Linked DNA regions of Drosophila melanogaster. The protein of the gene in region 1 interacts with the protein of each later gene in a pairwise test. Each region holds a gene or a part of one and is shown on either strand. Other genes may lie near its edges.

Region 1 (4,303 bases):
GTGCATTTAGACCAGCATGAGTATCCTTCTATATATTGTGTCAAAAAAAACGTTTTTAGACGTTATATAGCATTAAGTCTATCAAAGTTTATATACAAATCTTTTTGGACATTTTTATGTGAGTTTTACATAAAATAAATGGTTTTACCTCACCCAACGGTAAAATTCTCACACATTTTATTGGAATTTGGGGTGGTAATGAACTAATTCTTCTGTATTCTATATTAAATTCATTGATTTACAATAACTTTATATTTATACAGCGCTACGTTGGAATACATAAAAAACTAATATGTATATCACTTGTTGATTCTTGGATGTGATGGTGCTATTGAGTTTTTGAAGAAAACAAGCATATTTGATGATTCATTTCAAAGAAATAACTGAAGAATGATCTATTCATAAGCCAAACTCATTTCCATAAGGAAGAAAATGTAAACTGAATTTTACGGATATTAAGAATTCTTTTCTTTGTATAAAATTCAACTTATGCATTTTTTTAAACTCGCTAAGCACGAAACGCGCTTTTCCGAACCCGATTAACACTTGCCCAGAATTTACACGTTTTGTTGCACAGTTTATTCATTTTGTGGTACATAGTTTATATGATCGTTGGTTTCGATTCGTTTAGATCTATGTGAGGATTGTAGAAAAACGCTAAAAGATAATTAAGAGTTATTTATATTTAGATACGATGGCTGACTAATGAATATCATTCAGAATGCAAGTGTTTGTTAGTTTAATAAGTGGAAATTTGAGCTTGGGCCGCACAGTCTTGATTTCCGATCCTCACAGCCTTACAGCTCGTCCTTATCCAGATCGATGTCGCTCAGATCGATGTCCTCCTCGGTGGGCAGTTGGCCATCTTTGCCGTCCCAAGGATCCACGGACACAATCGCCGGCTTTTTGGCTCCGCGAACAGGCGCCGTGTGGCCACGTCCGTAGGAGATGTCGCGCAGGAACTCGTTGATGCCGTCCTTGGAGAAGGAGCCCTTGAGCACGGAGAATTTCATCTTCTTGAAGTTGACCACAGCCATGGCCGGATAGCCGAATCCGCCCACTTCGAGCGACTCTTCCAGGGCCAACTGCTGGCCACCTTCTGCCCAGGCCCAGCCCCATTGCTTCTGCTTGAACTTCTCGCCCAGGGTGCGCAATGTGTCGAGGAACTTGTTGCGGCACTTGGCATCGCAGTCGAGAATGTGTGGCAGAACGGACACGACGCACAATGGCTTTCCTTCGCAGGCAGTTTCAAAAGTCGATTCATTGATAATCTCGATGAGTTCGGGTGCTGGCACATTGGCCACATGCTTGTCACTGGCCCAGGATACAATATCCGAGGCAGTGCGTCCGCCATCATACTCCTGGGCATCACTGGCTCGCTTGGAGCCCGCAGGGAAGAACTTAATGGTAGGATACCCACGCACATTGTATTCGGCGGCCTTGCTCTGATGCGCGGTGGCATCCAGGGCGCCCAACTTAACCTTGCCCTTCAATTCTTTGGCGGCCTTGGCCCATTCGGGTGCCAGGTTCTTGCAGTGACCACACCAGGGGGCGAAGAATTCCACCAGCCATATGTCGTCGGAGTTCAGGACCAGTTTGTCAAAGTTGTCCTCGGTGAGTTCGATGACATCATCGCCGGACGAGCTGCCGGAACCGCCGGAAGACGATCCACCGCCGCCGCCCAGGACACCCTGCACCTTCTTCTTGACCTCCGCCAGAGCGGCTTCAGCGATGGCCTTAGCGGTTCGCTGACCATTGTAGTCCGTGGGCGACTTCTTGTTGGCGCCAAAGATCTTGATGGTGGGAAAGCCACGTACACCGAACTGGCCACTCAGCGTGCTGTCCGCATCGGCATTCACGGAGCCCACTTTCACGACTCCCTTCAATGCCTTGGCCAGCTTCTTGTACTCGGGCACCAGGCTCTGACAATGGCCGCACCATGGAGCATAGAACTCCACGACCCAGATGGCGTCGTCTTTCAGCACCTCCCGGTCGAAATTCGAGGGCGTCAGCTCCACAACGCCATCGCTGGGCGAATAGAAGGCACTAACGCTGCCCACGACAAATGCCAGCAACAAAATGCTCGCTGCGGGGGCGTATTGAAAATGTATTATTAACATAATTTGTCTATTTCGTGCATGGGCCGGAAACTTACCCAGTTGCCTCATCTTTCTTTTTTGAGTTTGCGAAACCGCTTACGTGTCTATCTCTTGCGAGTTTATCTCAACAAATTCTTAATCAACGCGTCTTGTCGATAGGCTCTTTTAAACTAAACTATGTGTAGAGATGCGGCTTATATTTTGCTAAAAAAAAAGAGTACACGTCACTGCGAGTGCGGCGTACTCTCGATAGTTCGATAGGCGTTTCAATACTTTGTGACTATCGATGTAGAAGCCGGCAAATGCGGATACTGCTGATAATGTGAAATAAGCCAAATCTTATATACTTTTACAAAAACAAAGGCGTGATTTTATTTGTAATTCTAATTATATATACGTACAAATAACGAAAGGAAAATGGTCCGAGAAGTTTATTGCCACTATCGATATATTTCGGTATTTTAGACTGGTTCTAAAAATCCTTCAGAGCTGCCAGATAAGTTAAAAATGAGCTTATTGACAACACTGTGTGATTTGGCGGCTATTTCAAGGTTGATTTCTTAACACATTCATTAAAACCAATGCAAAAAACTTGCAAATTTCAGTGATGATACTTTTGACGTAGAATGACAAAGTTCTACTTCTACTACCCCAATGTACTGCTTTCTTTATCTCTAAGGTAGATTAAATTATCTATTTATTTCTCTCACTGTAAAAGTTAACTGCATTATTTTTAGTAAGCAACAGGCAACAATATTAAGAATATTGAAAAAACAAAGGTACATATATAAAACAATTTATTGGTTAAATGATTTTATATAATATAACATTTTCTCTCTTTCATTTCAGCCTACTATCCTTAATTGTATTTACCTTGTTAATTCCCCATTTTAATTGTTTCCTTTCCCAACGTTTTGTTTGATTTGTGTTTTCTGGAAGCTTTGGCTTAATTTACTCGCACATTGTTCTGGCTCTCCAGCTTGTTCTCCCACTGCCCTCCCCACCCACCAGCCAACATTCGAATGACCCCTGACCCTCGCCATTTTCGTCTACGTTCGTTGCGTGCGCATATGAGATAAAATATGTGGTCAATTTTACTTAATAGCGACTTAGTAGTAGTGTTGCCAAGATTTATGTGACGTTCATATTGGCACAGAAAGACACAGAGTCAGACAATTTCCTTTTCTGCCATTCAAGGGTTAATTGGAGGGAGCTGTTCAGTCGGGGGGACTGGATTTTCCCTTTATTTTGCGTGTTATTTTTATGATTATTGAATTTTAATGCATATCGAATGCACACATAAAGATTCAATGACACAATGTCATAACTTCTCGGGCGGCTACAAAACCGGTGGGTGTGGCCAACCCTTTTTTCCAAAAGTAAAGTTTATGCCACATTTGGCCTGCACTTTTTGCTTTCAGCATAAAAAGGCGTAATATTTGTATTAACTTCGGTAAAAGAGAGTCTGGCCCCAGATAAACTTACAGCACTGAAAAAAATAATATCTAATAAAACATAAATATTAGACACATAAAAAAGAAACCACCACATTACTTTATTACAATATCTGCGCAATAAGTTTAATATTAAATTTAAAGATGAATCTAGCTTAATATTATTATTTCTAGGTTTATCACTAAGTTAGAATTCGTTTCAGTGCTCGTACTTCGCCACACTGGCTTATCAAACAAACAATTTGAATGCCCAGCGGAGCGATCTTTTTATTGATACGCTACGGTGAGGGTGCGGCATAAATATTAACCCCTTGTTGCCATTGCTCCTGTTGTTGTGTCTGCACTTCTGACTTGCCTGACGCCCTGTCAAAACACCTTTCCCGAAGGATGTGCGTCTGTCAGTGACTTCAATCTTGCAGATGTGGGGCGTTTATGAGTGTGCTCACTTGCAAAAATAACTTTCTTTTTGCTACTTTTATAAAAAAATATATATGTATTAAATAAAAAATAAAAAAATGAAAAATGAGTGTATAAAGCAAAAAAAAAAATTTTTTTTATATATAAGGTATAAAGTATATTATAAAAATGTATATATAACATAAAGAGCAATGAAATATAAATACTAGTGAGCTAAATGGAATTTCTATTAATATGTAGATGTAGCTTGATTTTTAAGGCGCATTTTAGATAAGGAAAATATTTCATATCAGCTTTTTGTTCACATATATGTACATATGTACACACAATATA
Region 2 (2,722 bases), on another chromosome or scaffold:
CTGAAGGAGAAGTTCTCGACGAGGCTTAAGCGAAAGGAGGAGGAACCAGCCAAGGCAATAGCCCACCCACCTCGGATGCATAATCTTGGCGAGGAGATACGTTTACTGGTGCATTCGCAATCCTTTGAAAAGGCCTACAGTACTGCAGCACCATTTCTTTTCGCCAGTTTGGGGGCGTGGCCGGGCTATTGGCTGTTCAGAGGAATGGATTACCATGTTCATCGATCGCACATTCCATTGCCCATCTATATAAGACAGGTGAGTCGTTTGTTGCTTCGGTTTGCTATAAGCTTTTATCTAAACACATTATCATCTTAGACCTACTATCAAGCCAAAGTGGTGCAACTTTTCATTATCATGGCCGGCACATATACCGTTTTCAGAAACGCCAGTCGCTTGCGTTTGATGAATGCAAATAGAGTGGCGAAGTCTTCTTGAAAGCCTTCAAAAATCATGCAATTGGATGTCCAAGAACCAGCGTCTTACAAATTTCGGAAACAGACCATCGGAAAGTTGAACTTTTAATTTAACAAACACAAAATATAAACACAAAAATATATTTTATATTCATTTCCTACAAAGTTGAGTCTGTTGATGCAGCCGATTCTCCGGAATCATCACTTTCCTTATCTTCATCATCTTGAATCTCCTCTCTAATGGTTCGAATTACATGTGCTAGTGCTCCACCACAGACACCATTGTCCACCAGTTCGATGCAGATTTTAAGGGCTTCCTTGCTGAGACCAGAGTCCACTACATCCGATAAGGTTTGCAGGATAGTGAAGCGATCGTCGGATTTATGTTGTGTCGGTTGTTCTGACATACTTATTCCACAAATTTTGATATAAACTCGGAATAAATCTCTAAATAATTTAGGGCAATGCTGACAGATAACTCAAAAGCAATCGATTGAATGTATATCATTTACAAATGATTAATGGTTATGTCAAAATATTTGAGTTCCCTTCATAATCTCAGGCCTGCACATTTGTTCTGCTAACCCGAACCCCGATGCCTAACCGTAATCCATTACCAGCTGTAAATCGTAACACCGTTTCAAGTTCAAAGTTCAGTAATGAGGCACCTGCTCCAGTGAACCCCCCCCCATTTGCTCGACATCCGATCTGCCCGCTGCCAAGTGGAAAGATAAATTAGCTACAAATTAAACAAATTATATACGCCAGAGATGCGTGCCTCTCACAGTCATTTCAAACGGAGGGGAGAATTGTAAATGCTGAAAATCTCAGCTGGCGGACAATTAAAAAACGCTTAAATGAAGATCTTTTTCAGTCGGCAAGTGCAGTGCCGCCAGCATGTGATAAGTAAGAGCAAACACTTAATCGTGAGAGGGGGATCCATTGTATCGCTTGGCCTCACCTGTATGAGATACATTTTCCGCTTTTTTTTTCGACGCTCCACGCAACGAATGCTAATTATGCAGCATCTGATGTTGTGATGATGAAGTGGTTACTGTCTTGCTCTACTTGGAATGCAGCCTCACTTTGTATATATGTTTTATGGGTCTGGTGCAATTGCGATCAATTGGAAACCGAAAAGAAGACAATCTCGGGATTTTTTCACTTAATGAAAATCAATTGAAAAACGTTTTCGCTGCGAAAATGTAGAACTTCACTTGGTAGCGAAGCAATTTGCAGCTTTAACTGAGGCGTTCAAACTAAAACAGTTGGCCGTGTCTTATTGTACAGTTTTATATAGTCGGGCTATATAAACGCAATTAGTCAGCAGCACGTAAACACAAACTTAATGCTTGTCTTGTGGTAGTTATTATTCGACCGATCGAAGGGGGTAGTACATAAACTTTTCAGAGGGTGTTTCCCAGCTTAACACACTTTGCTTGCTATGGCAATAGGTTTGCAAATGCCTTTACAAGGTGTTCACACCGCACAAAATCGATCAAACAAATAATTTCAAACACGATTGGCCAGCTCAATGTATGGGAACTTGAGCGGTCTATTGGTATTTCGAGGTTTCTCTTCGCTGTTTGTTTATACTTTATTTATTTACACAAATATGTACAGTTCGTGGATTTAGGTTTAGTGCGTGGTTTAGTGCATATTTTAGTGTATTTATCATTTGAATATTATTTTAAATTATTATTCGTTAACGCGTTTGAATGACCATCGTGTCTGTGAGTTGAGCGCGAACTGAATTGAAATTCCGCTGGGCTGTAGCTGCAAAGCAGCTTGTGGATTGTATCTTATGGATTCCATGCAACCTCATCATGAGGTTCGCTTCGAACATGTTTGGAAATATCTTTGATAACCAACGGATCAAACAGGTTGCGGACGATTGGGAATGTTCGAATATGTTCCCAAGATTCCCCGGGGCTGCACTTGAAATCGCTTCGACATTTCTTGATGTCACAACTTCGGAATTTGGATTATTCTGGGGATGGAGGCGCCCACTAGGAATTTAGTTAATTTGTTGATTATTCCGAGCACCATGGATGGGGCAGAAATTGGGCTTAATGAATGCTAAATGGTTTTAATGGGTGAAAAGACTAAGGGATGAATAGCATGGGGCGAACATACGTGAGTTGGTCATGGGATAGAAGTGGATCATTCGTACTTTTATGATAGTAAATAAAACTAAATATATAGTGTCAGGCACCCTTTGGAAAACCAAGATTGGCTAGCCAAACCTAAAACCTCATAACTATTCATCTCTCCACACCCAGGCGCATATCTCAGCTTGTGGAACG
Region 3 (4,505 bases), on another chromosome or scaffold:
CCGAGTGGGCGGTATTCAAGTTCGATGGCGCCCAGATTATTGTACATGCGCGCGGTCAGTGCTTTGAGGAATTCCGACAGCAGTTCGGCGACTCGGAGCGCGCCTTTGGCTACATACGCATCCAGATGGGTGACGAGATGTCCAAGCGCAAAAAGTTCATCTTCCTGACGTGGATCGGGCAGGAGGTGGGCGTCATCCAGAGGGCCAAGATGTCCACGGACAAGGCGCTGATCAAGGATGTCCTCAACGTGAGTAGCCAATAGCTAGAGATGCCAGAGCCCAGAGGCAGAAATAGATCCTCTCATCTCTAATCTCTTGCAGAATTTTGCCGTGGAACTTCAGGCGGGAGTGGAGGCCGAGCTGGACATTGAGCTCTTCCGTGAAGCACTGAACCGTGCCGGCGGCGCCAACTACGGAACGGGCATCCGGGATAACTAAGCGGCCTCCAAGTTACTTTACATATACATTTTTTTTTGCAACTCTTAACTGCTTACCAAACTGCTCCTTTCTCTTTAATTATTATGAATTAATTTTATGAAATTTAAAAACTGTACATTTTATGAAATATTATACAAGCAATTGTAACATTACTGGGTCCTCTTATTTATCGTATAATCATAATCCATAGTGTCATTCAAAAAAGGTAAAAGAAAAGTTTTCAATACCAAATTTCAAGAGCGGATGCAAAATCATTATCAATGCCATACATTTAATTGTGTATATAGTGGGACTGATGAATTACTTTGATGATAAGACAAAAATTTTAGCCACCTAATACTGAATACTGAAGTGGACAGATATGCCAGAATTTGCATTAGAAAATTCAAGTTTCTATAGTAAAGAAATGTTCTCGTTTAAACTAGTCTGGTTTTCTGAACATACGCTGGATGGATCGATTCGAATTTAATAAGCGCGAAATGAAAATGGACTACGTTGTTGAACTAAATACTACGGAGATGATGAAAATGATGAGAAAAATTATCTAGTTGCTTTAGTTCCCGGGCTCTGCCTCTCGCTTCCTAGCGGACCCTGAAGAGTACCGAGTGAAGTGCATCGATGTCCACCTCCACGCCAGACGAGTTTGTGGTCACGGTGCGAGAGCTACGGCCGAGAACGTTGAACAATACTGCTTGGTATCTTTAAAGCATATCACTCACCTGGCTTTGTGCACCGAGCGACGGGAGGAGTGCGGATTAACCAGCACACAGTGCATGGGCTGGTCATCGAACTGACGATGGTGATAGGTATCTACGGCCTTCTCGGCATGTTCCAGTGACTTGTAAATAACTTCGGCGGTGCCGGGACGCACCACACGAGCGTCGTACACTGGGCCGATGTCGCTAAAAAGCTCGCGAATATCCGCAGTAGTCACGTTAGTATGCAGATTGCTCACCAGCAGGCGGTATCCATCCTTTGTGTTCGACGTACGCAGCGACAATGGGGATGGCGAACGGCGCTTGTTCTTCGATGGAGCAGCTGCATCACCATCACTATCAGTACCGCTATCGCTATCCCTAGCACCACCGCCACCAACAGCCTTTCTCCGGTTCTCGTTGGCGTAGATGCCATGAGAAATGTGAGGATCCCTCTTACCGACAAACAGACGAGACCGCAGCGATTCTGGGAGTTTACTTGTGCTTGCTGTGTCGCGGTGGCGGCGCTCGAGAGGCTCCTTGGTGGTATTTGAGCGTCCAACTACGAGTCGGTTGGTCAGCGAAGGACGCTCAATGCGATTGCGGGCCGCCTCGTAAATGGAGAATGCATTGTTATCTATTTTGTTATTTAGTGGGGCCATGGACATCTCCACGTCGTCGCCGCGGTTCAGGTCGAGCCCACCAATTGAGTAGCGTGGCGACGCTTGCTTCATTTGCCCTAAGTGCAGTGTGCGAGATATTTCCTCTGAAAGTAGAAGAGTGCTTTTTAGGAACGGCTTGGCAGAGAAAGGCACTAACTAACCATCCTCGAGGTCCTGCATATTATCAAGATCAATATAGCGTCGTGGAGCAAAGGGTTTGCCCGGCTTATGGGATCTGGGGTCAAAGGTTCGACGCAAGCCGGACAACATGTGGTTACCCAGTTCAACGACCCCGTCGTCCGAGTCCCATTTCGCCTGAATGGTGCCGTCCGCATGGTTTGACATGCTAAGGCGGTGACCAAACTGACCGATGTGCACTCCCTTTCCGCGTGCGCGATGTGATGGCTCAAACGACTCTTCTTCGTCATCAATAAGTATTGGGCCCGCCGAACGGGCCTTCTTTCGCTCCAGCAACAGCTGGCGGGCATCGATGCCCGAGTCGCGCACGCTCTTGTTGATCAGATCCCGGGCATCGGCTATCTTGGCCCGTGTCTTCGCGGCGATCGTGTTTCTGGCATCGAAGGTGCGCTTTGCCGGCGTATCAGAGTGAGATCCTCGGGCACCCGATGGCTTGAAAAAAGGCTTGTTCAGCAGCTGGCGCGGCTTGGAGAAGTTCGCATTGCTGCAATGGAAAACGCATTGAGTGACATTCTATTTTTTCGGCTGTCCTGTAAATGTACTTACAACTTTCTGTCGAGGGGACGATAGCCGCGTTGCCCGCGCTTCCGCTCTATAATCTCGTCCAGACTCAAATCGATGTCCATGGCTCACAGTATACGCTTTTCACACCTTTTCCTAAGCTATGTGTGAAGTAAAAACAACCAGATTCAAATTATCCTGACTATTCGAACTACGTTCGTAAAAAAAAAATAGGACTGGCGTTTCACTGGTGACACTTGGGGTGGCAAACTATCGTCCAGCACTATCGATAGCAACTATCGCTTAAAAACATCTATGTTATTCTGGATATAAAATGTAAAAAAGAAACAGCAATATACTAACACTTATACAAATATACGATTAATACTATTAAACTACTTGTTCATTTACAAAAACAATTTTTGCATGTCTTAACATTAGTTTGTAGAAGATTGAAAATTCTCAGAACTGTCAATGATATATTAAGCTACATAATACGTTTTATCCACTGACATTACGAGTCACTAATTCACAGTGTGCCCCTTCGCACAACCGAGAACAATCGCGCTTAGGTGCTAGCCGACGTCTGGTCTGGTAACACTGATACCTGCGCAACAACAAAAACAACACCACATACTAAAACAAAAACCTCCGTGTGCTCTTCAGTCCTTGAACGCTCACCGGGACTGCCATTGTATGACTTCGATGAACAGAATTTGGCTTCACACTCTCTTCCTTCAGTGTAGGCCATGAGTGCGCCTCTTTTCACCCTTTAGTCGCTTTTTACGACAAGCCGGGAACGCTCAGGTAGTATTCTTCACTCGCCACCACACAGGACACCTGTTCGGGTTTAGCCACCTTCTCTGTTGGCCATCTCGTCTGATCGGACACGTTTAATCATTTTAATGATTAGACTGTGTCCCAGCTCCCATGCCTCGCTCTTTGCCAATATAGCTGCGAACAAGCCACTAGGGCTGAACGGAGCACCTGACTTCGTCTTTAGCTGCTCCCTCTCCATCGCAAACCTGGAGCAGTGCATTAGCACATGCTCTTCTGTTTTCTCACAAATGACGCAGAACAATCGACGTAGATAGGCCCGAATGCAGCCATGGTCCGTGTGAAACTGGGTTAGGTGGTAGTCCAAGCATTTGTGTTGGCACTCTGCCCAAACCGCCGACTCAGGAATGAGCTGGTAAGACCACCTGTTCTGCCACTCACCCAACAGCCACTCGTCGGTAAGCGCCACCCCGCTTTAGGCCGAGAGCCTTGATCTCCGATCAATTGGCGGCCTGCCAGAGTTAGTGCCGCGTCTTCACATATTGTCCTGAATCCTCTAATGAGCCTGAGGGCCATGGCTCCTTTCAGGTATGAACCCCTGCTTGTAGCATTGCTACAGATTGGTGCAGCGTACAGCAGCGAAGCCAGTTTCCTGGCCAGATAGCTTGGACCACCGATGTTGGGCACCAGTCTAGCCAATGAAGAAACTGTGACTGATGCATTCTTGCTGCCGTAACTCGCGTGGTTCTATCATAGCACCCAGGTACTTGAGGGACTCTTGGGAGGTCACCTGTGTCGCATTGACAGAGGACTAGCATATTCTCCACCTTTTTCCTGCTGCTTAGTACTTACTGCTTCGGTCTTGCGAGCCGCTATTGCTAGCCCGGCTTTCCAGTGGACGGCAGCTCCAATCGTGGTGTTACATTTGTCCTGCAACTCTGCAATTGTTTTGGCGACTGCTGTAATTGCCGCATCGTCTGCAAAACAGTGCAGCTCTACTCCCAAGGGCCTGTTGATGCTCCTCTACTATCGTATCCTCGTCCAGTCCACTGCAGGATAGTGCTATTCTTTGAGCTGCCGCACAGATGCCAAATCATTGACCGTCGCCTCTAGATCGCTTTTATACTTGGGAAAGCTTCCCGAGGCTTTTCCCACTACTTCGAGCAACAGCTCATCTAGCTGAGTTCTCCGAATTCTTCTGCCCAGTTCGCTAAGGCTCGGGTCCGATCTTAGT

Evidence for each region. The genes of interacting proteins can lie anywhere in the genome.
Region 2: the proteins of CaBP1 (region 1) and Mzt1 interact in a two-hybrid assay, tested with the Drosophila melanogaster proteins (one large-scale study listed by BioGRID).
Region 3: the proteins of CaBP1 (region 1) and CG18259 interact in a two-hybrid assay, tested with the Drosophila melanogaster proteins (one large-scale study listed by BioGRID).

The regions. Positions count from the first base shown.
Region 1 is NT_033779.5:16,354,385-16,358,687, forward strand, and holds CaBP1 (calcium-binding protein 1), read right to left. Parts: upstream 2,352-4,303; 5' UTR 2,169-2,351; coding exon 2,156-2,168; intron 2,087-2,155; coding exon 798-2,086; 3' UTR 502-797; downstream 1-501. UniProt on the Drosophila melanogaster protein: Binds to both apoptotic cells and phagocytes and promotes Drpr-dependent phagocytosis of apoptotic cells.
Region 2 is NT_037436.4:2,387,437-2,390,158, reverse strand, and holds Mzt1 (mitotic spindle organizing protein 1), read right to left. Parts: upstream 895-2,722; 5' UTR 824-894; coding exon 575-823; 3' UTR 509-574; downstream 1-508. Other genes in the region: CG32299 (uncharacterized protein), read left to right, coding at 1-258, 319-438; Svil (supervillin), read right to left, coding at 1,378-1,392.
Region 3 is NC_004354.4:18,780,757-18,785,261, forward strand, and holds CG18259 (uncharacterized protein), read right to left. Parts: upstream 2,739-4,505; 5' UTR 2,620-2,738; coding exon 2,540-2,619; intron 2,478-2,539; coding exon 1,957-2,477; intron 1,900-1,956; coding exon 1,158-1,899; intron 1,102-1,157; coding exon 1,020-1,101; 3' UTR 509-1,019; downstream 1-508. Other genes in the region: CG6891 (uncharacterized protein), read left to right, coding at 1-248, 322-438.